Linked DNA regions of Cricetulus griseus. The protein of the gene in region 6 purifies or fractionates together with the protein of the main gene of each other region. This does not show direct contact. Links are inferred from orthologs where the notes say so. Each region holds a gene or a part of one and is shown on either strand. Other genes may lie near its edges. The genes, in order: Tcof1, Eif3j, Pip4k2c, Efcab14, Zc3h18, Csnk2a2 and Prmt1.

Region 1 (4,604 bases), on a different chromosome or scaffold from region 6:
AATGACATCTGGTACTCTCTTCTGGTGTTCAGGCATACATGGAGGCAGAATGTTATATACATAATAAATAAAATCTTCTTAAAAAAAAAAAAAAACAACCCAAAACCGAAAAAGCCAAAAACCAAACAATCCAAAACAAAAAAAAAGGAAACCATCTGTTCCAATTCTTTTCTGTGACAGGATCTCACTATGTAGACCAGGTTGGCCTTGAACCTAGAGATCCTCTTGCCTCTGCCTTGAGATTAAAGGTCAGTGCCACCACAAGCTTTTTTTTCTTTGGGGGGGGGGGTCGAGACAGAGTTTCTCTGTGGCTTTGGAGGCTGTCCTGGAACTAGCTCTTGTAGACCAGGCTGGTCTCAAACTCAAAGAGATCCATCTGCCTCTGCCTCCCGAGTGCTAGGATTAAAGATGTGGGCTGCTACCACCACCTGGCTCAAGCTTTTATTCTTAAGAGATCCATCTTTCACTGGGTGTGGTCGGACACTCCTTTAGTGCCAGAACTGGAGGCCAGCTTGGTCTACAGAGTGAGATCCTGTCTCAAAAACAAAACAGCAACAACAAAAACAGATGGGCTCCAACTCAGAATGTCTCCCCCTGTGATAAGCTACACACAGAGATTACCCATATATATGATATAACCTGCCTTTTGAAGGTGACAAGTGTCCACAGTGGGCTATTGGATCATATCTTAGACCACATTAGTATATTACCTTGTGGCAAAGATGATCAGTTATGGTAACCCTGTTCTATCCCTTCCATTCCACCAGACTTACTGTTGCCAGTGTGTATAGATGTCCAGAAGGGTGGTGGGCTGAGTCAGGAAACTCTTCTGTAGAGAAATAATAATAGAAAGCTCCAATAAGTACGCAGTCTACTCTGTAGACCAGGCTGTCCTTTAACTCAGAGATCTGCCTGCCTCTGCCTCCTGAGTGTTGGGATTACAAATCAAAGGCATGCACCATCACTGCCTGGCTGGTTCAAGGGTTTCAGTTAAAACAGAGGAAAACAGGTACCAGGCCTAGGCCGAGGATACACTGTGTAGAAATCAAGACTGAACAGCCAAGTGCTCTAATGAGTCAAAAGAGACACACGTAGAGGGGAAAAAAAAAAAAAAAAAAAAAAAAAAAAAACCAAGCCAGCACCCAAACAGATTGGCCTAGAGTCTGGAAGAGCTCCTACTCACTGGATAACTCATCTCTTATCTCTGCAAACTCCAGGATACTTCTTTACAGCTCAGTAAACATAAGATGGAAAGGGCTGCTGTCAGTCTGAAGGGCCCTATCTAGTCAATTTGATTCTGCGCTAACTCAGGCATAGTGTCATAATAAATAAGTTGGACCACCAGTTCCTAACAGGGCTTTGTCATTCCTGTTACTGTTCTCCTTCTTGCCAACCACACAGCTCAACTCTCCACTTCTTCCTAGTCTCTACTCCAATGTCATCTTCGCCATAAGACTTCTCTGACCACCTTAGCTGTAACTGGAGTCTGACATTCCATATCTTCCTTGCTTCCCCTCACTGTGGCCAGCACCTGCCACAATCTAGACAGGCTAATCTACAAGCTTATTTTTATGTATCTGCTCTGTGAGAAGAGGTACTCTTGCTTGGGCACACAAACCATGATGATGGGCACTATGTCCTGCTTCCCCTATCTGTTAGGGCATCAAGGTCCAGGAAGGTCAGGAAAACCACATATAACATCCTAAAGCCCAGCAGCCTTCGGTTTTGAGTTCGTTTGTTTCTGAGACAAGTTCTCACAACTTAGCCCTGGGCTGGCCTTGAATCCATTATGCAGACTAGGCTAGCCGTGAGTTCACAACATATCCACCAGTTATTATATATCTCACCAGTGATTACCACTGCTCTTCTGGGAAGATTACCCATGGATCATTCCAGCCTCCATCTCTTTGGGAGACTCCATAGTCATGGATTTCAAACTTCAGGTACAGCAAACTTTCTGGAGGCTAGAACACTCAGAAGCTCCATTCCAACTTCAGGGCATCAGCACCTATAACTACCCATCTCCCTTGAGCTCTCCAAACCAACTACTACACCCTCAGAGAAGCAGTCCTGGGTATTCCCCACCCAGATTCTGCCAGCCATGTTTTAACATCTCAAATCTCCCATTCTACAGCTTAATACAATGTTAACCGTACAGAACACTTGTGATACTTTTGTGAGATGAGCAGGGAGGCCTGAGACTGGCGGTCCCCATTTCGTCATCTGCACCCCAGGGTCAAACTAAAAGTTGCCAAGTGGAAGAATTACTGCACCATGAGTTTGAGTCTTGTTATAACCGAAGACAGTCAAGGGCCTGCACGCCCTGCATTCCAGATCATCAACTAAGGGGGCCTTCCTCTCCGTGTTCCAAACAAGGATGATGACAATCCACCCCGAGACCAGCGACTAGCAGGGTGCCCTAGGAAAACTGCATAGAGCCACGTGGCCTGAAACTAGGGAAACTTAAACCTGCGGCTACCGGGAACCGGGGCGGGAATTACAAAGCTGCATGCCTCGGATCAGAGGTTCCGGCCCGCCCACTGCACCGACGAGGAAACTGAACCCCGGGAGGCGGCTGGAAGTCGCAGGGGTTAGAGTAGACCTTAATGCTCCTCCTGCACCCCTGGTCCCGCATCTCGGACCCGCGCTGGCCGGGTCTCCAGGGAGGGGCGCGGGCTACTGCTCTCTAGGTCTTGCACTTGGCCCTCCGACGCTTACCTGGCCGCTCTGTTCCTTCACTTCCCTCGCCGCGCGGACGTAGCCAGCCTGCAGCAGGTGATGGTAGATGAGGGGAAGCAGCTCCCGCCGCTTCCTGGCCTCGGCCATGCCAGAGATCCGGCCAGCCTATTCACGTGCACGCCCCCTAGCCCCCCGCCAGCCTCTTCCCTCGTGCCCTAGGACCTCATGCTCCTCACTTCCGGCTTTGCGTCACCTAGCCGTGTGGCGCACTGGGAAATGTAGTCTTGCAGCTGGAGTGGGCCATACCGTCCGAGAGGGCGGAGCCACGAAGGCTAATCATCTCTGCCATTGGTTTGGAGGCGTGGCCTGATTTCGACCCGCCCTCGGGACGGCCATGATGGAAAGGGCTCCTTCATCTTAATTCTGGTTTACTTTTTTTTTTTTTTTTTTTTTTTTTTTTGGTTTTTCGAGACACGGTCTCTCTCTGTAACAGTCCTAGTTGTTCCCTAGCTGTCCTGGAACTCACTTTGTCGGTCAGACTGGCCTCGAATTCACTGAGATCCGCCTGCCTCTGCCTCCCAAGTGCTGGGATTAAAGGCGTGTGCCACCACTGCCCTTGAAGGGCTTTATTGACCTGGTCTTAACGATAGGGCATCTTTATTCATCTTCGAACTTTCTGATCACTGGCCCCAGCTTCCAATTACTCATTATTTCATACAGTATTTAGGTCCAGGCATCAGTTGTCATTAGTGTGTTGAATCACTACATAAATCCTTACCCAAACCCTATATGTTAGGTTAGCACCCAGCTAGGCTGAGGACATGTAACGAGAAACAAAACAAGCAGTTGACTTCAAAGATCACCCAGGCTGGAGATACAGTTGACAATTACAGTTCAAGAGAAGGCAGAGCCCATGGAAGCATGGAGGAGGGGCACCTAACCCAAAGAGACTTACATACATTTAGATTCAAAGACAGGAGACCGCCTCCCACACCTCAGGTAAGGTTTCTTTGGGTAGTCCTTGCTGTCTTGGAACTCGATCTGTAGACCAGGCTGTCATCGAAACCGCAGAGATTTCCCCTGCCTCTGCCTTCTGTGTGCTGAGATTACAGGCTTGCATCACCACCGCCCAGCAACAGCAGAAACGGAAACTTTTGAGCACCGAAGAGAGGACAGGCTGGAGGTACTGCACGAGTCAGAATGTGTGAATCAACTTGTTGTTTAGTAAGGGAACCCCAAACTCTGTACTGCTAGGCTGGAGAGTTGTGAAAAAGAGAGTCCAGAATACTGGAAGCAAGCTTATAGTACCTTTTTCCCAACAGAGTTCTGACATGCTGCAAAGAGAATATAAAACCAGGGGCTGGCAGTGGACCATGCCTTTAATCCTAGCACTCAGGAGGCAGATCTGGCCAGCCTGGTCTACAGAGCAAGTTCCAGGACAGCCAGGTTTACACAGAGAAACCCTGCTACAAACAAATAAACAAAGAACTCCAATGTGGGCTGCTGTGTTTGATGAGGGGACACTGACAGGAAAGAATGGGAGTGGCCTGGGGCATATTTGAGGCCGCTGTTAATTTCATGGACAGGTTAGAAATCTACTGGTAGCTTTCACTCTAGGAATGTTATATCTGTCAATATACATTTTCATCCAAATTCTGGACTCACATATGATTAATCTTCAGGGGTGACTGGACTTTAGAATTACCTAAAAGATACTCCTATGGGTGTGTCTAATAAGGCCTGTCTGGGTAGGGCATCCAGACTGAAAGCCTAACCAAGGCCTGCCTGCATTTTTTTTCTTTCTCTGCTTCCTGGCCTGCTGACATGTAACCAAAATTCCTGCCACCATACCTTTCCTGGCATGATGGGCTGTGAACTGTGACTCAGAATAAAGTTTTCTAATTTAAGTTGTTTCTTGCCAGATA
Region 2 (3,149 bases), on a different chromosome or scaffold from region 6:
CTCAGACTCCATTTGTAAAATCAATTTCTGAGGGTCTTACTGAGCTCTAAACCTGAGAAGCCCCTAATGCATTCCCTCTAAAGATACTGTGTAGGCCTTTAGGAGATTATTGGATAAAAGGGTTACCTAGTGTTGTGACCTGTTTTGTATGGCATAAGACTGCTATCTCTGTGAGAAGCTACTATATAAAACAATGAAAGTAGCCATCCCCAAATATTCAAACTGGAGATATTTGCTAAAAAAGGAAATCCCAAGTCTGTATTATAGCATTAAAGCTATAGAAAAACAAAACAAACAGTAACAACAAAAAAAGTTTCCCAAGTATGTTAAGAATATAGTCTTAACAAAGGGGGCAGAAATCAGCATCACTTACATGAAATACAGACATCTCGAACTAAGGCTTCCAAAAAACTGGCATAATATAGTGATTTTTCATATTGCGTAATTTTATCTTTTAGTAATTTTCCAAATTCTGTGAAGTCATCTCTTGAAGATGGGTTCATAGCATCTATTCCATAACCTGTATTATTAACACCTGCAGGAGAAAAGAGCTGAAGCATTAGAAGACAATCATTTTCATCAATAGGGGCTAGAATGGCTCTCTGGGTAAGAAGAGCTTTACCCATGTAAAGATGATTACACAACAAAACTGTCTTCTGACTTCAACACAACCCTCTCTGTAACAAAAACCTTAAAGTTCATTAACCAAGTTGCTATCAAAATCAGTTTTATTCTAAAGCAGGACTTTAAACAAACTGTCATATTGTGTGTGCACATGCCACCATGACCTGCATGTGTAAATCAGAGGATAAACTTTCACTCCTTCCATCAATATGTGCCCTGGGGTATCAAACTCAGGTTATCAGGCTTAATACCCACTGAGCCACCATTCCATCGCTAGGAAACTTTACAAACTACTGAGCTTTTTAACAAGAAAAGAAAAAAATCTATCTTGAATTTTACTAGCCTCCAATTCAGCATTTTCGCCTATTTTAATTTTAGGCAAAAACATTTAAAAAAAACCCTTCGGAGTACACTGCAGCTGGAGCAGATATCCCCACCACTGTCTGATCAGTACTGTCAAGCACTACTATTAAAAAGCACCTGGCGGCCTGGCGTTGATGGCGCATGCCTGTGATCCCAGCACTGGGGAGGCAGAGGCAGGTGGATCTCTATGAGTTCCAGGACAGCCAGAGCTGTTACACAGAGAAACCCTATCTTGAAAAGACAAAACAAAACACATGAAGTTGAGTAGTTATGAACATTCATACTCCCAGCTTGGGAGGATGGAGAATTCAAGGCCAGCCTGGCAAAAACCCATCTCAAAAAAGAAACAAAACAACCAACAACCAAATTAATAAAACTATATATGGGCTGGGAATGTAGCTCAGGTAGTGTTTGCCTAACATGTATGAAGACCTGAGTTCAATCCCCTGCACTAGAAACTAAAAATCTTTACTTTTATCATGGATTTGTTTTGTGATTTGATTCCTGTTTCAATTGAACAGGTTTCCTTTGTTAAAAATAAAGTGTTAGAAAACACCTTTAATCCCAGCATTCAGAAGTAGATGCAAGCTTCTCTGTGAGTTCTAAGCCAACCTGGCCTACAGAGTGAGTTCCAGACCAGCCAGAGCTACACAGAGACCCTGTCTCAAAAACAAAAGCCATACTAAAAAAGGACCCACAGAATTTACTAGCTGTCCAAAAAAGGATGCTCTCAAAAGATCTGTCCAAGAAAAACAAAAGAGATAGAGTGGGAGAAGGCTCAGTAGGTAAAGATATTTGTCACCAAGCGTGACCACCTATATTCAATCCCCTGAACTCCCATGGCAGGAGAGAAGCAACTCCACAAGTTGTCCTCTGGCTTCCAAGGCATCCTTGGGCAAAGATGGGTAAGGATAACAAAAAAGATGGATACAATAAAAATAACCAGCTAACCCCAAAAATTAAACAGAAGTAACCATGTGTTAAAAAAAACGTGGTGGCGCACGCCTTTAATCCCAGCACTCGGGAGGCAGAGGCAGGTGGATCTCTGTGAGTTCGAGGCCAGCCTGGTCTCCAGAGCGAGTGCCAGTATAGGCTCCAAAGCTACACGGAGAAACCCTGTCTCGAAGAAGAAAAAAAAAAAAAAAAAAAAAAAAAACACCGAGAGAAAATAAATCTAGCCTAAAAGAATTCTAGGCGAAAAGTATGATTATGTATATACCTTTTTCAAGGTCAATAAATGACCTAGCAAAACTACAGATTCAGCATTGTAAGTGCAAGAAACAGTAAATTCCTACTAACCAAACAATGACTGTGTTATTTCATTTTTCACTTCTTAATTTGTAACTGGTATCCCATGAGATTTTCTATTCTGAACACACATGGGCTGCCATGAATAGAGGAACACCCACATTCACAGCTGAAATTGCTAGAGACCCACTGAAGAGTATGGTCAGACTTTCCTAAAGGGGAACAAGCAAGTCTCTTGTGTTCTAGAGAAGGCCTTGGGTGAATTTTTTCACAGGGTAATGACAAATTTGACAAATGAAGTATTCTGGATTTCTCTACTATGTCTTTTAACTCTTCCTTAGGTAGCTGGCTAGTTTTTAAATCAACACGACACAAACTAAAGTCCTTTGTTTAGTGGAAACCTCAACCAAGAAAAGAAAATGACCCCACCAGATTGGCCTATGGCCCATTTTCTTGATTTCTGATTTATGTGGGACAGCCCAGCTAGATGTGGGCAGTGCCACTCCTGAGCAGGTGATCCTGGGAACTGTAAGAAAGCAGACTTACTGAGAGCAGGCCAGTAAGCAGCAATCCTCCATGGCTTTTGCTTTACTTCCTGCCCTGACTTCCTAAGCTGTTAAGATAACTGATGGCCCTGAAAGATGGTGTACTATAAAGGCCAAGAAAAAGAAACAACTCCGAACACAAGGCAAAGCCAAAACTGAATATTCTACATGGACTAACATGTTCTGCCCAAGTCCTATTTAGACTTAGGGGAACAGGATGTCCCCAAAGACAGTCCACTATTTTAGTTAAAAAGCTGTAGACACCAGAATCTATCCAGTTCACTAGTTTAGGCAACAGTACACTTTACCGGGTCTACTGATGTCTTGAGGCAGTCTTGCTATATAGCCTTAGCTAGCTACCACTAAGGC
Region 3 (3,871 bases), on a different chromosome or scaffold from region 6:
AAAAGCCTATCCACCAAGATGGAATGATTTGGATGGAAGGAGCCTGCAGCCTGAATTTAGCAAGGAAGAGAAGTAGTGGCCACATCCAGTTCCCCTAAGACTCTCAGAACCCACCACCTTCAACATAAAGCAGCAATCACCACGGAGTCAGGCAGGCTCTTAGGCAAAGATGTTGGCAATGAAATCCAAGAATCGCTTAGCGTACTGCTCAGGATGGACAGTAGAGATCTCTGCTCCCGCCTGTGAGAAGGGACACGGGACAATGTGTGAGGAGCCTTAGCCCCTTCCTTCCCTTAGGCACCCAGTGCTCTCTTTCCAGAGGGTCAGGCTAAGAAGGGAAAGGCTTTGGGAACTCACCCCATGCTTGACGGTTTTCGCTGCATGAGCTGCTTTCTTCTTGGCATCATACTGTGTCAGAATGTCAATGAGGCCCATAAAATATACCTCCTTCTGGGGGGCCCCTGGGGAGAGAGACTGACAATGAGGACAGGGTACACACAGTCCCAATTCTTTCCCCCTGGAGTCAGTTTTGTTGTGACAAGCTAATCAGCTTCTCCATCCACCACCCTGGTCTCTGTCCCCCAAGGATGCCCACCCCCCCTTAACATTTCCAGGTTCTCTCTCACCCTCAGCACTCCGGATGGCATAGACATCGATGAAGGACTCAAACTCTCCTGGGCCCAGGGGCCGGTGGGAATGAATGTAGCCTCCAATGCCCTCAGGGGAGGTGCCATAGGAGCCCACCAGAGCAGGAGGTCCAGCCAGGTTACAGTCCCCATCCCACTCTGACTCGTCCTCCCGCACGGGCCCCTCTTCCTCCGGCTCAGAGCCCCGGATGATGTCGTGGATGCCCAGCAGAAGACTGTAGTCCATGATCTTCAGCTGCACTAGGAACTGAGACCCACTGACAAATCAGAGACCCCAGGTCTCCCACCCAGCTCCAGCTTCCACCCATATGCCTCCTTCCTTGAGTTTTTGGGCCCTCCTGGGGGAAAGGAACATATAAACCGAGGTCAAAGTATTCCCAGGAATTAGTGCCCGAGTCCTGGAATCTGACAGCACGCTCTCACTCCTCCTAGCCAGTGCCCATCCCACTCCCTACCTCACCCCACCAATGGGGGTTTCTCCTGTTTCACCCCCAACCTTCCACTCAGCAAACCCCAAAAATAAAGGCAAGAAAATTTTTGTACCACAAATGGAAGGCAAAAAGCAAAAAAATTTTAAAAACAAAATAGACACTTCTTTTATTATACAAGGCACTCTGGGCACCCAATCATTACCTCCACATCTCGCTTCAGCTTCTCCAGAAATATTTTCTTTTCTTCTTCACCAATATATACTTTCTGGTTCTTGTTGAGGAAGTCCATATCCTTAAGCGTAGGCAGCTCTTTAACCTACAGTTGGAATCACCCTTACCCAAAGCCTCAGAGAACCCTGCCTCCGTCCAGGCCTCTCTCTACCTCAGAGGCGTTGAAGAGAGCAGCAGTCTTACAGTTGCTTTGGGCCTGGACTCGTCAGTTGCATTTCATATGACACCCACACTACCTGCTTATGGACTGCAGTCAATACCCTCCATACTGACTTCTTCCTCCTTCTTCAGTGAAAACAGCTACTTGAACGCAAGAGCTCAGAATGCGATATGAAAAACGAGCATTCTGCTCTTCATACCTGGCATTCCCACCTTTCCCAAACCTTCAACACAGAATAACCAGTGCTAACAACAATGCTAACAGTCACCCCTGCTGCTCACACAGACCAGTAGGTTTTTTTTCATTTTTTTTAATCTCTTTTCTTTCTAGTGGTTTAAGGTAAGAATAAACAGCTGCAATCTGTATCCATTATGCAGAACTGCTTCTTTATTCCTAGAAATCCCTTTGCCAACACTCCTGCACCTGCACACACACCCCGCCCCGCCATCCCTCACAGCATCACCTACAAGGAATATTACCTTTTCCTTATCGCTGGCTTCCCGGGACACTAGAGAACCCTGTGGAGAGACCAAAGACTAAGTCAGAAGAAATAACAGGGCCAGCCAGAAGCCCAGTTCCAAAGATGAACAATCAAATCTACACCTCTCCTTTAACAGCAGTCACCAGTGCCCTCCCAAGCCTTCCTCAACACGCAGGCCAGAAGTAGCCCTCCCTTTAGCCCAGGTCACCCTGCTCTTACCTTGAGGTCATACTTCCTATGCACAGGAAGACGATGACTAAACATATTTCTCATGACGAGCATGTAACTGTCTTCATTTTCTACACTGACTCGGTACATGCCCAGGAATTGGGGCAGAAGCGTGTTACCATGACACTTCACTATGTACTAGGGAAGAAAATGAGAGGAAGGAATAAGGAAAGGGTGGCAGGGTAAGCAAACAGCCCAGGAACAGCAATCCAAGCACTGCTGCTCCAGAGTCCGGAAAGAACCCACAAGCAGAGGATGCAAAGCCAAGAGGTGGCCGGTCCCTAAAAATGCTCCTGGTCACCCAGCTTCTCCATCTCCTAATTTTAAAGTACCTTTTCTCACCTCTGTCATTCATTTGTTTGACACTAAGTCTCATATGGCTGGGGTGGGTCTTCAACTCTGATCTCTGTCTCTAGCTTCTAAGTGTTAAGATTATAGGAATGAGCTACCTTTATCACTTTTCAAGATAAGGAAGGCAGCTATTATTATTCTTACCTTAGGCACTGTGTAAATAAAGTCACAGAACCAGGGTTAAACTTAGATTTACTTATCAATGAAATGATTGTTTCTTTTTTTATTTTTTATTTTTTGTTTTTTTGAGACAGGGTTTCTCTGTGACTTTGGAGGCTGTCCTAGAACTAGCTCTTGTAGACCAGGCTGGTCTCAAACTCATCGAGATCTGCCTGCCTCTGCCTCCCGAGTGCTGGGATTAAAGGCGTGTGCCACCAACACCTGGCAAAATGATTATTTCTTGGTGGGGTAGGTTCTGTAGTATAAATGTCTACAAGGAGACCTATAATTAATTTGGATTGTTTTGTGTTTTTTTTAAAATAAAGATTTGAATTATTATTATTATTATTATTATTATTATTATTATTATTATTATTTTGAAATAGGGTTTCTCCTGGCTGTCCTGGAACTCTTTCTGTAGACCAAGGTGGCCTCAAACTCAGAGATCTGCCTTGAACACAAAGATGCTGAGATTAAAGGAAGGCACTACTATATGCCTTATTTTTTTATTTATGTGTCTGTGGGAACACCCCAGGAGGCCAGAGCATCCCTTGGAACTAGAGTTACAGACAGCTGTGAATCACTTGACATTACCCTAACTCAGGTCTTCTGAGTGAACAGGAAGTGCTCTTCCCCACTGAGCCATCTCTCTAGCCCAGTATCATTTTGTTTTCTAAGTCAAGTCAGATGTCACTAGCCTGGCCCCAAGTAAAGCTGACCTTAAACACTTGGAGTGGCGAGATGGCTCTTCAAGAAGACCTGGGTGCAATTCCCAGCACCCACACTGTGGATCACAGTTCCTGTAACTCCAGTTTCAGGTGGTCTGATGATATACTATTCTGGCCTCCAAGGGCACCAAGCACACATATGCAAGCAAAACACTTGTACACATATTTTTACCAAAAAAATAAATAAGTAAAAGTAATAAATAAGCCCTTATTCGTGGAAATTCCCTAAATCACTGAAATCTGAAGCCCATAACTCCTCAGTTGTCAAATCCAGTAGGGACTATAGTCACTGAATTATTTCAACTGTGCACTTGACCCTTCCGACAATCTCTCCTTTCACCCACTATGCTCACCTCTGGTGTCCTCCTATCCCTTATCCTTTATAGACGTACTCGGGGCATTAATAATTCAAACTACCAGTCACACTGAGTCTCCTTCATGGGCACTTTCCTTGC
Region 4 (3,871 bases), on a different chromosome or scaffold from region 6:
CAGGACTTAAAAAGGACTATGAAAGTCTTGAGAATGCAATCTAAATGCAAAATGATTTTTAAGCTGGACACCAGTTTTAAATTATGCCCCTGTCCCCTATCATTAGTTTAGATATTTGTGCTAAATAATTTTTGTCAACTAGACACAAACTAGAGTTACCTGAGGAGAAGGAACCCCAGTTGAGGAACTGCCTCCATTAGACTGCTCTGTGGACATGTGTATGGGGCATTTTCTTAATTGTTAACTGATGTAGGAGACAGAGTCCAGCCCACTGAGGGTGGTGAAATCCGTAGGCTGGTGGGCCTGAGTTGTATAAGAAAAGAAGCTGAGAAAGCCAGAGAAAACAAGCCAGTAAGTGGCATTCCTCCATAGTTTCTGCTTCAAGCTCCCGCTTTGGCTTTCCTTGATAATGGACTGTAACTCATATGATGTAATAAGCCTTCCTCCCTGTGTTGCTTTTGGTCATGGTCACAGCAACAAAAGCAGACTGGGACAGTAACTGTTTTAGCTTAAAAACTAGGAAAGCCCACCTGATCCCTATGCTTTCCCACTGTAGTACTTACCAGACTTGTGATTAAGTATCTGTCCAGCTTTGTGAGCTATACCACAATAGGGGTCATGTATCTGTGTCATTCACTGTGGCCATCGTGGCTCCTGGTAAAGTGATGAGCACAAGGTAGGTACCTGGTGTGATATTCACTCACTCACTAGTACCCTAACTTACAAATTGCTCTGCCTTGGAGTTTGTCACAAGAGATCAAAGTGCTCCTCTTAGAGCGAACAGTGTGGAGATGCTGATGCATCTGTTTACTTTACAGAAGCCTCCTGTTTACCACTATGCCCTGGGCCTTTACAGTAGTAGCTCTGTTGTTAACCAAAGACTCTCTTTTCAGAGTGGAAGCCCTATTCCCATCTTAGAGGGTAAAGAAAACAGAGGAAAAGGTTAAAACATTAAAACTTGGATGACAGGAAATACTTTTGTGTGTTTTACATATGTGTTTATACACGCTCATGCGTGTGCGCGCGCGCGCGCGCGCGTGTGTATGTATGTATGTATGTGTAGGCAGAGGCTGACAATCATCAATCATTCTTCACCTTTTTCTTTTTAGGACAGGCTTTCTCACTGAACCTGAAGCTTGGCATTTCGACTAGGCTGGCTGGCCAATGAGCTCCAGGAATTTGTCTCTGTTTACTCCCAGCACTAATGGGTTTCAGATTCAGGCCACTGTGTCCAGCTTTTATGTGGATACTGGGGATCTGAACACAGGTCTTCATGTTGTGTGGCAGGCACTTTACTAACTGAGCCATCTCTCCAACTCTGACACTTACAACTTCTTAAACAAATTGGTCAAATTATTGAAAGGATCTGAACACTTTAAACACAAATGGCAAAGGAGTGGGAGAGACAGAGAATGGAGACGGGCACAAGGAAACAGGAAGTGGGAATAGAGGCTTCTCCCCAGATCCAGGCTCAGTCTGAGGCTATTGGAAGAAATAGTAAGACAGATGGATACTATTACCAATTCTCTTTGCTGGATAGAAATAAGAAGGGGATGGCAGAGACTGCAAGGGGCTTGGGGTGGTAAGTTTTCACAATAAGCCTTGAAAACCCTTCAAGGCACATTATTCATCAAATCATTCAACGTTCTCAGCTCCTACTTAGCTTAGCTGAGTTCAAAAGGGCTTTAAAAACTAGGGCTCCTTTAATCTTCACAGCTTTGTAGTAAATTACACACTCTTGTAAAGCAGGAGGGCCAGTCAGAGGGGGACAGGTCTTTTAACCCCACCTTTCAAAGCCATATTTAGGCAGCTTGCCAAAAGTTCACTGTGGCAGAGCCAGCTCAAGCATTCCTTACCATGTGTCAGGGTTCAATTTTATGTGTGGGTTAGCTTCTAGCTTTTACTTGAATTTACAGTGTGGTTTCCTGAATTTGGTTTCCATCAAAAACTGTACCACGTTTTTGCTCTATTGAACCTTTAAAAGTGAGACCTATCACTGTTAACAAAATGATCCACATGAATCCCACCAGGATGTATAGATGAAATGTGGTTAAAAACAAACAGACTCTGTTCACGAGATCATGAAACCAGTGACCCTCAGAGCTAGCAAGCATGTGCCACCATCACCACCTGGCCTGATTTCATCTTTTTACAAGTGTTTTTACTAGAAAATATTAGTTATACATCATAATGGGTTTCATTATATTTTTATCCATGTACATAACATATTTATCATAATCACCTCCACCCACTCCCCCATTAACCCTTCTGTATTCCTCCCACTCCTGCTAATCTCCTCCTTCCCATGGACTCCCCCTTCTCCTTTCAGATTCTGTGTAACCCTATTGGTTTCACTAGGGTTTATTTATAGAAGCAACTTCATCTGTTTTAGATGGTTTCCCTAACATTATATGCAAAAGGTTTCCTTTAATATGCAGACAGGAGCAGGATGAATCTGAAAGCCAAGCTCAGGGTTTAAAAAATTGCACAAGATTGTTGTATCTGCTGCTCTTACCACTTCTAATACCTTAAGGGGGAAAAAGAAAAGGAAAGAAAAGAAAGGAAATGAAAGGGAAAGGAAAGGAAAAAAGACCTCCTTTGGAAAAACATAAACACTGGCAACATTGTAAGAGACTTGTTATTCCTGCCAACAAGTCCTAGTGAGTTGATGTGTTTAAACTGATCCTTGATCTTACCCCTTTCAAACACACATACCCTGTGCACTTCAGAGAACTGCTATATAAATTTAAGCAGGAGTAAGTTAAGCACAAAACAAATGTGTAGCCTCTTAAGTATGCCAGACTACTGTTCACATAAGGAGAGGGAATTACATCTATGTACAGACAACACACACCGACATAGAGCATGCCACAGCAGATCTGAAAAGGCTTACCCTGCTGGAGGTCAGGTTTGCTCTTTTTTCTGCCTTGTTCAGTGCAGCCACATCACTTTCCATCAGGCTGAGTCTCTGTGTCAGGTTACTGAGTGTCTCGTTCATCCCCTCAAATTTAAGGTTACTCTGTCTCTGGTATCCCACTACAGTACTGTTGATCTCCTCTAAGGAGTTGTGAAGGTACAGGATATCCTAGAGTGGAAACAATGAGTTATGACATCCACCTAAATACTGCAACTAGACAAGTAGGATAGGAGAAATGCAGCAACCATTATTATGTCAACAAGGTAAGGTACTTTTCTTGGCAGCAATCTCCAACTGCCTAGATCTGCTTTGCTCTTCTTTCTTTAAACTGGTCCCAATTTGCCCTCTCTTGAATTGTTTGGCCTCAGCTAGACAGGAGGGTAAAGAAGAGAACTGTCTGCAAGCTCCCACTCAAAGCAGTGAGTTTGGGAATTAATTTCCCCAAAGTGTTTACCTCACTTGCTGGCAGGAGAGCACATTGGGTTATTAACTGAAGTCCCATTAACTTAATTGGTCAGAACAAAACTACCTTAGGAACAATACCAATTACTGAATTGGCTTGTGTAACAAAAGCACAGCAAGTAGTGCATTATTTAGTACAAGATTCAATTATTTTTATTGACATCTTCTAGTACTGATTGCTACTTAAAAAGGAATAATTACCATAGGTTTTAAAGGGCATTAAACTCAGGACAGAAATTCTTCTTAGAGAAGATTTTCTTTATTCTCTTTAATGTGATTCTGAACCTAGCATTCCTCCCCTCCTGCCCTTTGTCTTTAGACTTTAGAAAACACCAACTTTCAAGGATATGTTTCTCAGTGATCTTAGAGGTTTCTGTGACTCAAAACAGCCATCACTTTGGATTTTGCATCCATCTTTTATTTGCCCAGATTGTTATTTGCCATAGAGTTTCAGGATAATCTGATCATTTTATGTCATTCAAAATATGAAAA
Region 5 (4,573 bases), about 27 Mb from region 6:
GGCTAAAGAAGCCACTGGAGGAATCTCGAGCCATCAGGGAAGTGACTGAAACTGAGTTATAAAATGTGGCTCTGACTGCATAAGAAAGTCCCCAGGAGTGAGAAGGGGGATATTTAGTATTAATTCAGGCAACAAGTGGGGTGGAGAGCATAGAGAACAGGAGGGAAATTCAAAATCCACCTGGATCTATATATGCATGCATGCTGTGGCCCAGCTAATTCAACAATGGCCGCCTACCAACAACGGAAAGTCCAAGAATCCAGTGGGCTGGATTCAGTCAAGGTTAGATGTCTCAACTGGTCTTCAGTATTCATTGAAATCCTGAAGAAGTAGGCCCTAATGCCAGTGAACAAATGAACTTGCCAGAGTAGGAGCAAGCAGGCAAGGGCTTCCTTCCTCCATGTCTTTTACATAGGCTGCCACCAAAAGGTGTGGCCCAGATTAAAGGTGGATCTTCTCACCTTAAAAGATCCAGATTAAAGGTGGGTCTAACCACTTCAAATGATTCAATCAAGAAAAATCCCTCACAGGTACTCAGCCACTTGGGTTTCATGACTAGGCTTTTCTTGAGCACCATTTAAGGGTTCTTATAGCATCTCTGTGCTTATAGCATGTGTCAGACCATTGCTTTCTGTGGCTGAATTAATGTTCCTCTGTAAAAATGGAACAGCTATGGGCATCTGGGCTGTTTTCCTTGAAGTTGTCCGAGGAAGACAGGCAGCCCCCAAGCATGTAAGCCCAAAACCAGTTCCAAAATTTTCAAGGGGCCAGTACCCAATGACCGCGCCACACTTTGTCAGTAGCGATCAGGGGGTTTAGGCCAGCAGCAGCAACAGAGCACTGCTGGGGGGGGGGGGACTGTAAAAAACGTTTCAACGGCTTAAATCCTCCCCAGGGGGATTCCACTGGGTCATGGTAATCATATTTAACGAAATCAAGAATATTTAGCGCCACTCTAACTCTACAAATATCTCCAAATATTCCTTGGGGGGGGGAGCGGGAGGCGAGGACCAGGACCTGGAGCTGTCTCTACTTCAGAGCTACACTCCAGTCTCCAAAATACTTTTGGTCAAGCATTGACATTTAATAAGACAGGAGATTCTCGCCTGGCAAAGACCTATCCCAAGTTTTTAGGCACTGGGGTGTCCACACGCGCAGACCAAGAGCTACAAAGGACTTTCCCTACCGGGGGTCACGATCCGCCCGCTGCCAGCCTTTCCCCATCCCGGGAAGCTACCACCAGAAATCCAGAGACTCTGCGCACGCGCCGCTAGATGGCTCGCTAGAAAGCCGGCCGGCCTCGGTGGGCGTGCGCAGAAGCGGAGACTTGTGAGCGCGCGCCACGGAGGAGGGGCCTCAAGAGTCCGGAAGGAAGCGCGAGGAGGGCGGGGCTAGCGAGGGAAGCCCGCCGGCCCGCAGTACGGCCGTCGCGGCCTGATGACGTCGCACAATGGCCGGCCCCCGCGGGTAGTGGAGCCCGTTTGTTCCGCCCGCGTCGTGCCTGAAGCCAGAGTCAGTGAGAAGCGGAAAGGTCGAGGAACGTCTTGTCCACGCTGCTCCCATCTCAGCGGAGCCGTGGCCGCCTCCCGTCCTCGCGCTGAGGTAAGCGGGGCCGGCGGGTGGTAAGAAGGAGGCCGCCAAGCGGCGGCGGGAGCGAGGCCCGGGAGCCCGGCGCCGCCTCCCGAGCTCGGGCGCGCCCCCGGCTGTGCGCAGCCGCGGGTCGAAGCGCGGCCCGGGACAGCGGGCAGGCGCGAGCCCGCTGCGGCCTGGGACGTCCTGGCGACTTTAGCGCGCCGCGGTCTGCCATGGTGAAGTTGGTTTTCTGAAGCTGTCATTTCTCTTCCGGGCCACTCGGCGTGGCACATGTTCGCCGCCTACAAAGGGGAGTGAAGCACGCAGGTTGGCTGGGGAGGAGGCTCGCCTGGACTGTCGACGGGCTCTACGGGGAACTTTGAGCTCTCTGGAGCCTCCTGCAACAACATGCTCTCGCAACTTCAAGTGTGCACAGGTGCCCCGAGAGGTCCGATCTCTTAGGAAGTATAACCTCCTCACCTTTTGGACTGTGAGCTCAGAGACACCGAGTCTTTGGCGTAAAGTAGCCAAACAATTGTAGTGCTGGAAAGAAACTAAGACTTAAGTCTCGCTACTGCTGGAAATTTAGTTTTCCCCGTGTACATTGACAGCTGAGCTTACCGGACACAATAGTAGCTTTAAATGAGTTCTGTTTAGCACTTACTTGCAAGAGTAGGTAATTCTTCAGATCCATTTGGGGATAATGAAAGAGAGCATCTGGTTCATCTCCACATTACCTATCCCAAGGCAGGGGTTGGAGATTCTCAACCCCTAGGCTAATTTCCATTTCCCAGCCCCTGAGAGGAGAATGTGTTTGATCTGAGCACTTATGAAGCCCAGCCAGTTCTGGAACCAGTTCAATATGTCCCAAAGCCTGAACCTTCTCTCCAGTTGTAGGTGGGGAATACTAAAACATTTTAAGAGAACTTTGTGGATTTACTTCAGAACACTCAACAGGTAAGCTCTTGCCTTGCTCATTTTTAAAGAGCTATCTTGTCATTTACACACCATCTCAAGGTGACTACTCCTTATCAAAGAGTTTTTGGTTGAGCTTAAGTCAATTTGGAATTGTGCTTATCAACAATCCTGACATTCTTGCTGTATACACTGAAACGATGAATGAGGATTTTAAACAGGTATAATAGAACTTAGACATCAACATAGGATCTGCTCTGCTAAAAGTAGTTTCCCACAGCTGGGCAAGGTATACCACAACTTTAATCCCAGCCTTTGGGAAGCAAGGGCAAGAGGATCTCTGGAGGCTGACCGAGTATACATAGTGCCAGGACTACATAATGAGACTTTGTCTCAAAAGAGAAAGCAGTTTCCCAGAAGTTGTGCTTGTTATTGATCCACCTTTGCTGAAGTCCACTTGAAACACCTGTCTCAGTAGTAAGCATGTGAATTAATTGGTTTCATTTTAATAGCCACACACCCCTCTGGCTTTGGAGGCTGTCCTGAAACTAGCTCTTGTAGGCCAGGCTGGTCTCAGAGATCCACCTGCCTCTGCCTCTGCCTCCCAAGCGCTGGGATTAAAGGTGTCGGCCACCAGTGCCTAGCTAGGCCAGGCTCTTAAGTAGTTTGTAGCAGTTCCTCAGTGACCCAACTTTGAGGAGAATGTGTTGTTACTATTCTGCCGTTAGTGGTGTGGTTGAAGTCAGTTTGGCCTCCCAGAGCTGCTGCTGAGACAAGAGCAGAGGACAGGCTCTGGAGCTCTGGTTCTAGTGTTTTACAAATTAGGCAACTTTTTTGTTTTTAGTATGCAACAGGTAGTTCTTTGCTTAATGAGATTTTTGTCAATTATTTAACAAGTATTTTTCAGGTATGTCAAGTGCAGTAGGGGAAAGAAACAGTGAAAGACTTGAGTCATTCCACCCACTGAACAGGTTCACCACTTTGGATTGGAGGACTAAAGATTAGCTCTAAAACTTGTGAGAGTCCCACATTACTGAGTGATTGGCTAAGATGGGTTGGTCAAAGATTGTAAACATGGAAGTGTATTGAGTTGGACTGAAGGACCCTCAATTAATTGTTTACACTTGATAGGGCATATAGTTCCCTTCATCCAGCATAGGGTAACACACAATATTTGTCTCAGAACACTGGCACCTAGAGAGACAGTGAGCCTTCCTAGAGCAGGGCTGGAAATCAAGCCATCTCCTGATTCCCTGTATGATTCTTGCTCTAAAGGTATGATTTAGAGTGGTTTTTCAAAAAACACACAGATTTGTAGTTGTCCCTGAAACATGTTAACCTGAATGTGGCCTCCAGTAGTACAATCCTAGGAGGTCCCATGGGAAGGAAGAACAGTGCAGTGCCTTTTCTCAGAAAATCTTTCAGGGCCTCTGCAATGTAACTCTGCACCATGGCAGCCCTGATCATGCATCCTGTGGATGCTAATCATGGCCGCTGTAGTCTCAGAAGTGTCCCAGCCGTATAGTACAGTGTGTGGTGTATAGGCTGCTGAATGCCAGCCCTGTGAGAGCCTCTTATCCTTTCTCACTCTGCAGGATTGGGAAGAATATATGTTTTCCATCACTATGACAATGCATGAGGTGATGAACTCATACAGAGAAAAGATTTAAGTTGATGTAGTGGCACACACCTTTAATCACAACAATCAAGAGACAGGGAGGCAGATCTCTGTGAGTTTTAGGACAAGCTGGTCTACAAAAAGAGTTCCAGACAGCCAGGGATACATAGAGAAATCCTATCTCAAAAAGAAAGAAAAAGGGGGTGGCAAGAAAAGGTATATTTTGGCTCTCAGTTTGGTATATTGTAGAATCTAGACCATGTTCAGTTAGTAAGGTAGTGACCAGTGATAGAACAAAGGCGCTTAACCTCTCATTGAATACTGGAGAGCAAAGAAGACCTGACTACTAGGCCTTACCTGTTAAAAATTCCTATACCAAGATTCCTGTATCTCTTAGTAGTGTATCCCTAGGGACCAAAATGTTAACACTCAGGCTTTTGGAAATTTAAGATCCTGCCGGGCATGGTG
Region 6 (4,525 bases):
AACCCTGTCCCTAAAAACAACCAACCAAAAACCCAAATAAACAGTGTGGCATGTAGTGCCTTATTATTGAACGGTCCCGATTGTTTTACATAGTTTAATGATCTACAAAACTCTGTGAAGTAAGTGTTGGGTGTATGCTACAAAATCTGAAGCTCAGAGATGTTGGGTCATTGCCTTAAATCCACATCAGTTGGGAGCTACAGAACTGGGACTTGAACTTGGGTAGTTAGCTATATGAAGAGGAAACAGTCTCATCTAGACAATGGTGAAAAAAGTTTAGACTCACCTGAACTGGGTGAGGATATTCTTGTTGATAAAGAATATGGACAGGAAAGCAAGACAGCCAGGGACCCGAGAAGATCAAAGAGCAGAGTATTCGAGGCTTGTATGCCTACCTAGTCCTTAGCCATGCCCAAGCATTAGCCTCTCCTTCCAGGCTAGTTCTCCCTTCCCCCTCCCCAACAAAAAATGGATATTTACCATCTCAAAGTATTTCCCACAAATTACAAGTTCAATGAAAGGGAGAAAACAGTAACTTTACAGGGAAACCACCTGGCTGACTCTAGTTTAACCAAGTGACCCAAGAGATGACTCAGTGGGCTCTCGGGGGGAATCTGGAGGGGAATTAGGAGGAAACGGTAGGTCGAGGACCAGGCAGATTCTGCATAGAGGGAATAGTAAGTATTGGGACTGAGGGGGTCTGTGAATGGTAGGTGGGGTCCAAAGGGCGAAGTGGAGTGAGGAAGGGAAACAATTTGAGGTGAGGGTTCTTGGGTTTATAGGCAAGTCACTGAGAGTGGCAGCAGTTAGGTGACAGGAAGGTCAGATCAGGGACAGTATGGGAGGTCGTGGTGGGTGGACATGAGGTGGCTGGACTATTCAACTGTGCTGAAAAGGGCGCCAGTCGGGGACGAAGGCTCCTGGGCGGTGACCTACAGGTGGACCTGCAGATGACCAAACTGCTTGGCGGGTGGCGCGGTCGCTGCGGGGGCGGGAGACGGCCACGGTCCCCCAGCGCTGCAGGGGGCGCTGTGGGCCGGGGCGGGCCGGGGCTGGGCGCGGCCGCTCCTGGCGAGCGCGGCCCTTTTCCGGGTTTCCTCCGCCTCCTCCTCCTCCCTCTTCGGCGCCGTCGCCGCCGCTGCCCCTCTCCCGGCCGGTGGCTGCCGCTGCCGCTGCCACCGCCGCCGCCTCTAGGGGCCGCGAGCCGAGCGGAGGCGCCGCGGAGCACGAGCCCCGTCGTCCGGCCGGCCGCCGCAGGCCCGGGCCGGCTCGGCCGCGCCCCCAAGCCGAGCGTCCGTCCGCCGCCCCCGCGGGCCCGGCCTGGCGCGGACACCCGCCGCCGCCGCCGCCGCGCTCCTCCTCCTGTTCGGGGCGGCCCGCGGCCCGCCACCTACTGCGCCTGCCACCCGGCGCCCCGTGCCGCGCCGCCGCCCTCGGCGCCCCGCGGCGCCCCCCGGTCCCGCCCGCCATGCCCGGCCCGGCCGCGGGCAGTCGGGCCCGGGTCTACGCCGAGGTGAACAGCCTGAGGAGCCGCGAGTACTGGGACTACGAAGCCCACGTCCCGAGCTGGGGGTAAAGCCGCCGCCAGCCGCCCCCTCGCGCGAACCGCACCCGGCCGGCCGCTCGGCCTCGGGGCTGGCAGGGAGGCCCGGCCCCGACCGCACGTGTCCCCGGCCTCCCCTGTCCGCCCGGCTCCGGCCCCGGCCCCTGGCTCAGCAGCCGGTGGGGAGAAACGTGGGGTCGGGGTGGGGGCAGCCCTTCCTCCTCTGGCCTTAGGGTTCCTATGGGATGGGAAGTCCATGGCTGTCCTCTTGAGCTGTTAAAATCTCTACCTTTTTACTTTTCTGAAATGAGGCTGGGTGGGAGGAACATTTTTGAAGATGTGCAGATTCAGTGGCTCCCCGGCGGGTGTGAAATGGGAGGCGAGTGCTGTGGAGCCGCAGGCAGGGGGCCACACCAGTACCACCAAGGTGGATGCTTTGCTCGGTGCCTTTAACGTAGGCCACAAGGCCCGGTGGCTGCCCTTTCTCCACAGGTTAGGAGGAGTCAATTAGGTTAGGAGCTCTGCAGAGTGAAGGGAGCCAAGCTTCTGTATGGCTTTCCTTTAGGGAACGAGTTGATGTGTAAGTTTCGGCACCTCCAAATGCTTGATTAATGGAAGTGGCTGGACATAGGCTTGCTTAATCTCAAATCCTGGCATTTATGTGTGTCTCTTGCCTTTCACAGTAATCAAGATGATTACCAACTGGTTCGAAAACTTGGTCGGGGCAAGTATAGTGAAGTATTTGAGGCCATTAACATCACCAACAATGAGAGGGTGGTTGTAAAAATTCTGAAGGTGAGTGTCCTATGAGTGGTATGTAACATTTTCTCCCACAGGGCAAAAGGAACAGCTATTCTAGGATGAGCAATTGAAGCTCTTGTATATCTCCTGGAGGGTGGCTGGCCCTGCAGCACTCCTACCATTTTCCTCTAAACTTTTGAGGAAATGTGCAGACTAGTCTGAACTCTTGAGTTTGATAGGTCAGGAACATTTAAAGTGTAAAATGTGGACTTCTCAGACAACTTGTGAGAGGGGATGTATATGATACAGAATAAATAGGTATTCACAAGAAAAGATTTTGTGTAGGCGAATCTGGTAGTGTAGGGTACCTTCATCATTGAACTTGTTTTGTTTGTTTGGGTTGGGTTTTTTGTTTGTTTGTTTTTTGAGACAGGGTTTCTTTGTGTAACAGCCCTGGCTGTCCTGGAACTCCATCTGTAGACCAGGCTGGCCTTGAACTCAAAGATCCATCTGCCTCTGCCTCCTGAGTGCTGGGATTAAAGGCTTGCGCCACCGCCACCCAGCATCGTTGAACTTGTTATTCTGTGCTCTGAATTACTCCAGAAAGTAAGTTGTCAAAAAATGAGTCTTTTCAGAGATCAGTTTAAAGCCTAGAATGCCAAGCAACTCCCCCAATGGATACTCAGGAAGGTGGTCCATAGGACCTAAGCCGTTCTTTGTGTTGTCAGATCATTTAATGTACATGAATGCCACCTGGGGATCTGGACGGTTCTTCATCTTAGATCACCTATGTGTGTTCCTAGTGAAAAACTGAGAACACTGGAGAGCAGTAGTACTTCACATGAACCCGATTTTCACAGTGGCCCAGTGGAGGTTCTGTACAACAAAAAATGTGGGACAGAAATGAAAAGCTTGTGCTCCCATTTAGTTGTTGTGTCGATTTTAGCATTCTCTAAATCATCTTTCAGGAAAGCGACTGCTGCTTTTGCTCTTTATCATCCTAGCCTAATGATAAAAGAGCAGAATTGCTGCAGAAACAGGTGGTTTTGTCTCTGCTGTTAAGACCCTGGGTAAGAAATAAGAGGTGCTGTTAAGATCAGCAGCTTGGCCCCACTAAATGAGTTGTACATGGAAGGTCTGTAGTTTATTGGTGATGGGGGGGGGGAGGTTAAGCAGAGAAATGTTTCCTTCAAGAAACTTGCTGGAAACCATATAATTTCATTATGTACATAAACATAAGTGGGGTTTTGTTTGTTTGTTTGCTTGTTATTTTGTTTTTTTGTTTTTCGAAACAGGGTTTCTCTGGCTTTGGAGGCTGTCCTGGAACTAGTTCTTGTAGACCAGGCTGGTCTCGAACTCAGAGATCCACCTGCCTCTGCCTCTGCCTCTGCCTCTGCCTCTGCCTCCCGAGTGCTAGGATCAAAGCCGTGTGCCACCATTGCCCGGCAAACATAAGTGTTTTAAATTTACTTCAGACATTTTAATTTTAAGGACTAAACAAAACAAATTGTGGTTAGGAATATCTGAATTCCTTGGTGCACATTTGGAGGATTGAGTTGCCAAATCTAAGACAATTCCAGAGAAATGTCTAAATGCCTGTGTTTTTAGAAGAAGTGCAGTTTTCTGTGGTGTGCTTTAAAGGAAACAGCATTGGGGAATGTGTATGAATCCCAGTATATTTGTTTGGGGAAGCATAGTACTATTTGCTCTTCAGTTGTTCTTGTGAAGAATTTCAGAGGTTAGTTGCTTGATAGTTTTTGCTCTAAAGAGGCTTCACATATATTTACTGAGTCCAGTATGGAAGCTGTGTCAGATTATTTTTATAAATTGTAGACCTAGACACAAAGAAATGTATCTGATATCACAAGGCTCTTCACCAGAATTCTTTCCTATTTCTTCATGCCTCTGGCTCTTCCTTTCAGCATTGGATTATGGGATCTTAGCATTGAACAGAGTATGTTCCAGGGTTTGAGCATGAGATTTTAATGCCCTAGTTCATGAGGTGTTTGTTTTTTCTCAGAGGGCAGCCTGAACCACCTTACACTCCTTTGTCAAAACCCTATGGCATTTCTCTGTGGGTTTTATTCCTATTTGAAGGTTAGAGTAAGAAACCACTAATATTGTAGTTTTGTTGTTATAATGGATTCAGAGTATAATTTTTCAAAAAGAGTAGGGACTTTATTCCAAAGTTATGCTTATTTACTCAAATAAGTTGAAGTTATGACTAATACCTACTATTGT
Region 7 (4,545 bases), on a different chromosome or scaffold from region 6:
AGGGATTGGCAGGTGGGAGCACTAGGGCTGAAGGCCTTGGGGATTGACAAAACTGACGGAGGGAATTGGAGGGAAAAGCCCAGAGGCTATTGATATTTGGGATGAAGTAGCAGGATAGGCAGGAGTCAATCAAGAAATCATACTGAACCAGGCAATGGTAGCGCACACTTTTAATCTCAGCGCTTGGGAGGCAGAGACAGGAGGATCTCCGAGTTCCAGGACAGCCAGAGAAATTCTGTCTCGAAAAAACAAAAAGAAAAATCATACTGGCTGGAAGAAGTTTACACAAGCCTTAAATCCCAGCACTTTGGAGACAAAGGCAGGCTGTACCATGAGACTCTGCCTCACACCAGATACCTTACGTGTGCAGCAGATGGTGCAGTGCTTGCCGCTCAAGACTTGACACACGCACGCACACGCACACTAAACAGTGTTAGGAGTCGGAAGGAAGAAGGTCATCTGAGCACGAGGAGGCCTGGAGTGGAGAGGCACATTTGGGAACTTAAAGGACCCTGTGCTTGGGCCGAGTACTGGTGGGACAAAAGGTAAGAGGCAGGGGCACAAACCCAGCAATTGGCATCCATCTTCAGGCCAGGAGTAACTTTCTGCAGATCCAGGGAAACTTCCTGGAGGAGATGGAGTCCAAATTGCCGCGTGGGAGTTGGCCAAACAAAGGGAGATGGGTGTTTCATGCAAAGGACTAGGAGGCCACAGGTCTTCAGAACTCGGCACAGTCCAGTACAAGGTTATGGCTCATCGCACTGACATTCACTACGACTCCTGACAAGTTTCAGGACCCCTGATGAGAACGCCTCCACATCTACTCACAGCGACTCGGCATTTTCCCCTAGCTCGCCCACGCGCCCCAGTTCCGGAGAAGCCACCGAACGTTGATGACTGATGTTCCTGGGAGCCAATCGCTTCCGCCCAAAGCCCCGCCTACCTCCTTGTGGGCCAATGGTCCCTGTCGTTCTTGGCCAGTCTCTCGAAGGGACTGGAACAAGAGCCCTGCAACGTCACGTTTTGCTCAGCTAATTGCGGCGACGGAGAGGCGGGCCATCTTAATGATCCACAGCAGAGTCTCTCGACATCCGCTTAGCGCGGAGCCCGCCGGGAAGCTTCAAGGCGGAGCTGGCCGGAAGGAGGCGGGAAGACCTGGTGGGATATCCTCCAATCATCACATGCGCTGCCTAAGATAGACAGACAGTTGTTCCCTTCCTAGCCGACAGGAGGGGGTGGTCCTTTGAACGCTAGGAGGGGAGGGCGCCCGAATTTTGATAGACGTGCTCAGCGCCCAATTGCAGTGCGAGGCGGTTAGATTGACGGCTGCGCCAGCCATTGGAAACTTATGGCGGGGTCTCGGGGGCCGGGCGGTGGACCCTCTGGTAAAAGGCGGTCCCCGGCCGGGGGGAGAGAGAAGAAAGGGGGGGGTCTCGGAGGCCGGAGGACTCGGGTGAAGATGGCGGCAGCCGAGGCCGCGAACTGCATCATGGAGGTGAGTAGCTGGGCTCTTTAGGCCAGTGGGTAGGGGGAGGACGACGGGTTACCCACGGCCTGAACTGTGGAGACGGGGCCTTGGGTGTGCTGGGCCTCGCGGAGGTCCGCATCGGGGGATGTGTTCAATCGTGACCGGGGCGACCCCAGCTTATGGGACTCTCGGACCCCGCAGTCGAGTCGAGGGCCGTCGCACGTGGTCGCGGGCCGGGGGCGCGTCCAGCCGGGCCGCACGTGGTCGCGCAGCGTAGCGTGGGGAGGGGGGTGTGCCACTCGAGGGGCCCCGCGGGTTCCACGTGCGGGACAAAGGCCCCGCCCCCGGCCCGGTGACCTGGGCTGCACTCCGGGGGTCCTGGGGGGTGCCACCTGCGTCCTGCTGTCCGCTGGGTGGTGGACATCCGTGCACCCTCGTGGGGCCTGACCTCACTTTCCTCCACTCTGAGTTACCCCTGTGCGGTTGGGGGGGGATGGGCAGAGCCCTGTGACCTCTCTGTTAGAGGATGGTGGGGCATCTCCACCGAGGAGATCCGGATCCGGCGCCGGGCACCCCCTCGTGGTCATTATGGGCTTGTGAAAGGGGCTCTTTTTCATGGGGCGTGGCCCAAAGCCCACCCCCTCATGGAAGCGCCCTCGGGTGGATGGTCAGAGGTCGGTCTTGGGGCTGGATGGCTATGTAGGCACGCAGACCAAGGGGCCTTGACCCCCACCCGACCCCTTTTTTAGGATTCTCACCTTTGCCTAATTTCCCCCCCAAAACAGAATCAAATTCTAGCACCTGGCTTATTTGCTTACAGTTGAGTGTTTCCACCCCTGAGCTGTATTCCTCAGTCCACTTTTTACTAACTTTGATGCAAAGTGGGTCTGGCCTTGAACTCACCCTGTAGCCCAGGCTGGCCTTGAACTTGCCATCTTTGCTTAAGCCTTCCGGGTAGCTCTCGTGAAAGACTTCACTACTAGGCCTGTAAATCAGATCCTCTCCTAGTCTCAGGTTTCAAACCCTCTTCAGGAAGCCGTGTGGTGGTGCATGCCTTTAATCCCAGGACTCGGGAGGCAGAGACAGGCGGATCTTTGTGTGTTCAAGGCCCATTAGAACAAGTTCCAGGACAGGCTTCAAAGCTACACAGAGAAACCCTGTCTCAAAAAAAAAAAAAAAAAAAAAAGCCAGAAACAGAACAAACCCTCTTCAGTCAGTTGTTAACCTGCTGGTATCTGTACTACTGAAAAAGAGAGGCCCACATGGGAACTCCCCCCACTGGCTACCCGACCCCTGAGGTGGTAGATCGTGGCCTCTCTGGCCTTAGATAGCAGTCATCTATCTAATGGGATAATGATGGGATATAATCTGGTGGTACCCATACCTCTTCAAGTTCTCTGGAGAGGAAGGTCAGTTGCTGGGACACCTGCCATGGGGATCAGTTCGCCTACAGTGTCACTGAAGTGACCCTGGGCCTGGCACTTGTGGACAAAGGAAAAAGAGGGCAGTTTTCAGTGTGGGGACCAAGGTGGGGTGTGAAAGGGGGGGCTTTCGTAAGCTCACACGTGGCGGTGGGGCTCAGGCGGATTTTGGCAGAAATATTTATCGTAACAGCTTGCCCCAGCTTTCCAAGGCATATTTTGTACTCCTGGGGGGCAGCCCTCTTCCGGGGGCAGGTAAAACAAAGAGCCTTGCTCTGTGTGTTCCTTGCCCGGGTGGAGCTGGGGTGGTGTACTCACTGTGGTGTGGGGGTATGCCACATTTCTCTATTGGAATGATCTTTGGCCAGGAGACAGGATTGTGATGGGGCAGACAGGTGCCCAGCACCCATTACCTGTCAGCCCCCTCCGGTTTATTCATGGCACTTCAGCCTGGTGTGTCTGTCAGGAAATGTCACCTAATCTAGGGGGGATTAGGTAGTGAAGGGGAGCAACAGCTGAAAGTGCCCATGTGCCTTGGCAGGTATTGGGCCCTCTGGCCTAGATAGGGTAGGTATGTGTGGCCAGTTATCTGACCAGAGAGGGACAACATGGGGCGGGCCACCATCTCTTCAGCCAACAGCTGGGACAGGAGACCCCACCTTCCTTTCCCTCCCCACTTGTATCCCTTCCTTACACAACTGCAGCCACACTGCTTGCTCCTGCTTACACCACTCCCATGCCCAGGAAAAGCCAACCTGCAAAACACTCACTGCCCCAAAGGCCTTCCCCAGCCACCCCAGTAGCTAACCCTTTTTCCCTGTTACTCTCTCCTAGAATTTTGTAGCCACCTTGGCTAATGGGATGAGCCTCCAGCCGCCTCTTGAAGAAGTAAATATCCTTTTGTGAGACCCCCCCAGCCCACTTGCATATAAGCATACTTTGATATGCACCTGGCTCCTCAGGAGGTCTATTCATCCTCTTGCTTCAAACCAGTTTCCCCTGCTGTGGCCCCTAAACACATAGGACAGACCCCTTCCTGGCCCAAGCTGGCTCCCCCAGAACCATGGCTGCTTCCTTAACTCCATCTCCAGCCCTCCTCCTCTGGCTTTCAATGTGTCTGCCCTGGCTCTGCCCTCCCTTCCCTCCCTCCCCAGCTGTGGGCTGAGCTAGAGACGGGCATAGAGCCTGGAGAGATGGTAGGCGAGGCGGCTGCTCCCTGGATGGTGCTCTGGGTGGGTTCTGAAGTGGATACCGTCCCTTGGGAAGAAAGATGCCGGAGGGGGCTGTAGGGCTGTCCCATTCTGAAGAGGGGCCTTCTTGCAGGTTGAGGAACCTCTGAAGAGCCCACCTGTGACCCTTTTGCTACTCCCCCTCTTTCAGGTTTCCTGTGCTCAAGCAGAAAGCAGTGAGAAGCCCAATGCTGAGGACATGACATCCAAAGACTACTACTTTGACTCCTATGCCCACTTTGGCATCCATGAGGTGAGTGAAGACTTACCCTAAAGCCAGTACATCCTAAAGGGCTGAAAGGTTGGGCGGGGGTGAATGAATCCACATGGGCCCTGCTACCCTTCTTCCTGGGTCCACTGCCTTGGAGGTTGGTTAGCCCAGTGCTCTGCAGGCTGGCCTGCATGCTGCAGACATCAAGATGAGGTC

Evidence for each region.
Region 1: the proteins of Csnk2a2 (region 6) and Tcof1 purify together in Homo sapiens (affinity purification with mass spectrometry; 3 studies listed by BioGRID and IntAct, with this or other methods). This does not show direct contact. The link is inferred for Cricetulus griseus from reciprocal best matches to the Homo sapiens genes CSNK2A2 and TCOF1.
Region 2: the proteins of Csnk2a2 (region 6) and Eif3j purify together in Homo sapiens (affinity purification with mass spectrometry; 5 studies listed by BioGRID and IntAct, counting the BioPlex papers as one, with this or other methods). This does not show direct contact. The link is inferred for Cricetulus griseus from reciprocal best matches to the Homo sapiens genes CSNK2A2 and EIF3J.
Region 3: the proteins of Csnk2a2 (region 6) and Pip4k2c purify together in Homo sapiens (affinity purification with mass spectrometry; 3 studies listed by BioGRID and IntAct, with this or other methods). This does not show direct contact. The link is inferred for Cricetulus griseus from reciprocal best matches to the Homo sapiens genes CSNK2A2 and PIP4K2C.
Region 4: the proteins of Csnk2a2 (region 6) and Efcab14 purify together in Homo sapiens (affinity purification with mass spectrometry; 4 studies listed by BioGRID and IntAct, with this or other methods). This does not show direct contact. The link is inferred for Cricetulus griseus from reciprocal best matches to the Homo sapiens genes CSNK2A2 and EFCAB14.
Region 5: the proteins of Csnk2a2 (region 6) and Zc3h18 purify together in Homo sapiens (affinity purification with mass spectrometry; 3 studies listed by BioGRID and IntAct, with this or other methods). This does not show direct contact. The link is inferred for Cricetulus griseus from reciprocal best matches to the Homo sapiens genes CSNK2A2 and ZC3H18.
Region 7: the proteins of Csnk2a2 (region 6) and Prmt1 purify together in Homo sapiens (affinity purification with mass spectrometry; 3 studies listed by BioGRID and IntAct, with this or other methods). This does not show direct contact. The link is inferred for Cricetulus griseus from reciprocal best matches to the Homo sapiens genes CSNK2A2 and PRMT1.

What each region holds. Positions count from the first base shown.
Region 1 is NC_048595.1:178,248,181-178,252,784, reverse strand, and holds the start of Tcof1 (treacle protein), read right to left. Parts: upstream 2,911-4,604; 5' UTR 2,827-2,910; coding exon 2,719-2,826; intron 830-2,718; coding exon 774-829; intron 1-773.
Region 2 is NC_048599.1:56,393,213-56,396,361, forward strand, and holds part of Eif3j (eukaryotic translation initiation factor 3 subunit J), read right to left. Parts: intron 536-3,149; coding exon 374-535; intron 1-373. UniProt on the Homo sapiens protein: Component of the eukaryotic translation initiation factor 3 (eIF-3) complex, which is required for several steps in the initiation of protein synthesis.
Region 3 is NW_023276806.1:130,514,637-130,518,507, reverse strand, and holds part of Pip4k2c (phosphatidylinositol 5-phosphate 4-kinase type-2 gamma), read right to left. Parts: intron 2,317-3,871; coding exon 2,170-2,316; intron 1,988-2,169; coding exon 1,949-1,987; intron 1,395-1,948; coding exon 1,281-1,394; intron 895-1,280; coding exon 627-894; intron 462-626; coding exon 358-461; intron 241-357; coding exon 160-240; 3' UTR 1-159. UniProt on the Homo sapiens protein: Phosphatidylinositol 5-phosphate 4-kinase with low enzymatic activity. May be a GTP sensor, has higher GTP-dependent kinase activity than ATP-dependent kinase activity. PIP4Ks negatively regulate insulin signaling through a catalytic-independent mechanism.
Region 4 is NC_048595.1:36,568,364-36,572,234, forward strand, and holds part of Efcab14 (EF-hand calcium-binding domain-containing protein 14), read right to left. Parts: intron 3,086-3,871; coding exon 2,894-3,085; intron 1-2,893.
Region 5 is NC_048596.1:199,022,630-199,027,202, forward strand, and holds the start of Zc3h18 (zinc finger CCCH domain-containing protein 18), read left to right. Parts: upstream 1-1,460; 5' UTR 1,461-1,602; intron 1,603-2,463; exon of another isoform or gene 2,464-2,529; intron 2,530-4,573.
Region 6 is NC_048596.1:171,671,758-171,676,282, reverse strand, and holds the start of Csnk2a2 (casein kinase II subunit alpha'), read left to right. Parts: upstream 1-1,468; coding exon 1,469-1,572; intron 1,573-2,226; coding exon 2,227-2,338; intron 2,339-4,525.
Region 7 is NC_048599.1:153,870,081-153,874,625, reverse strand, and holds the start of Prmt1 (protein arginine N-methyltransferase 1), read left to right. Parts: upstream 1-1,388; 5' UTR 1,389-1,459; coding exon 1,460-1,495; intron 1,496-3,723; coding exon 3,724-3,777; intron 3,778-3,982; exon of another isoform or gene 3,983-4,082; coding exon of another isoform or gene 4,083-4,085; intron 4,086-4,269; coding exon 4,270-4,371; intron 4,372-4,545. UniProt on the Homo sapiens protein: Arginine methyltransferase that methylates (mono and asymmetric dimethylation) the guanidino nitrogens of arginyl residues present in proteins such as ESR1, histone H2, H3 and H4, FMR1, ILF3, HNRNPA1, HNRNPD, NFATC2IP, SUPT5H, TAF15, EWS, HABP4, SERBP1, RBM15, FOXO1, CHTOP, MAP3K5/ASK1, MICU1 and NPRL2.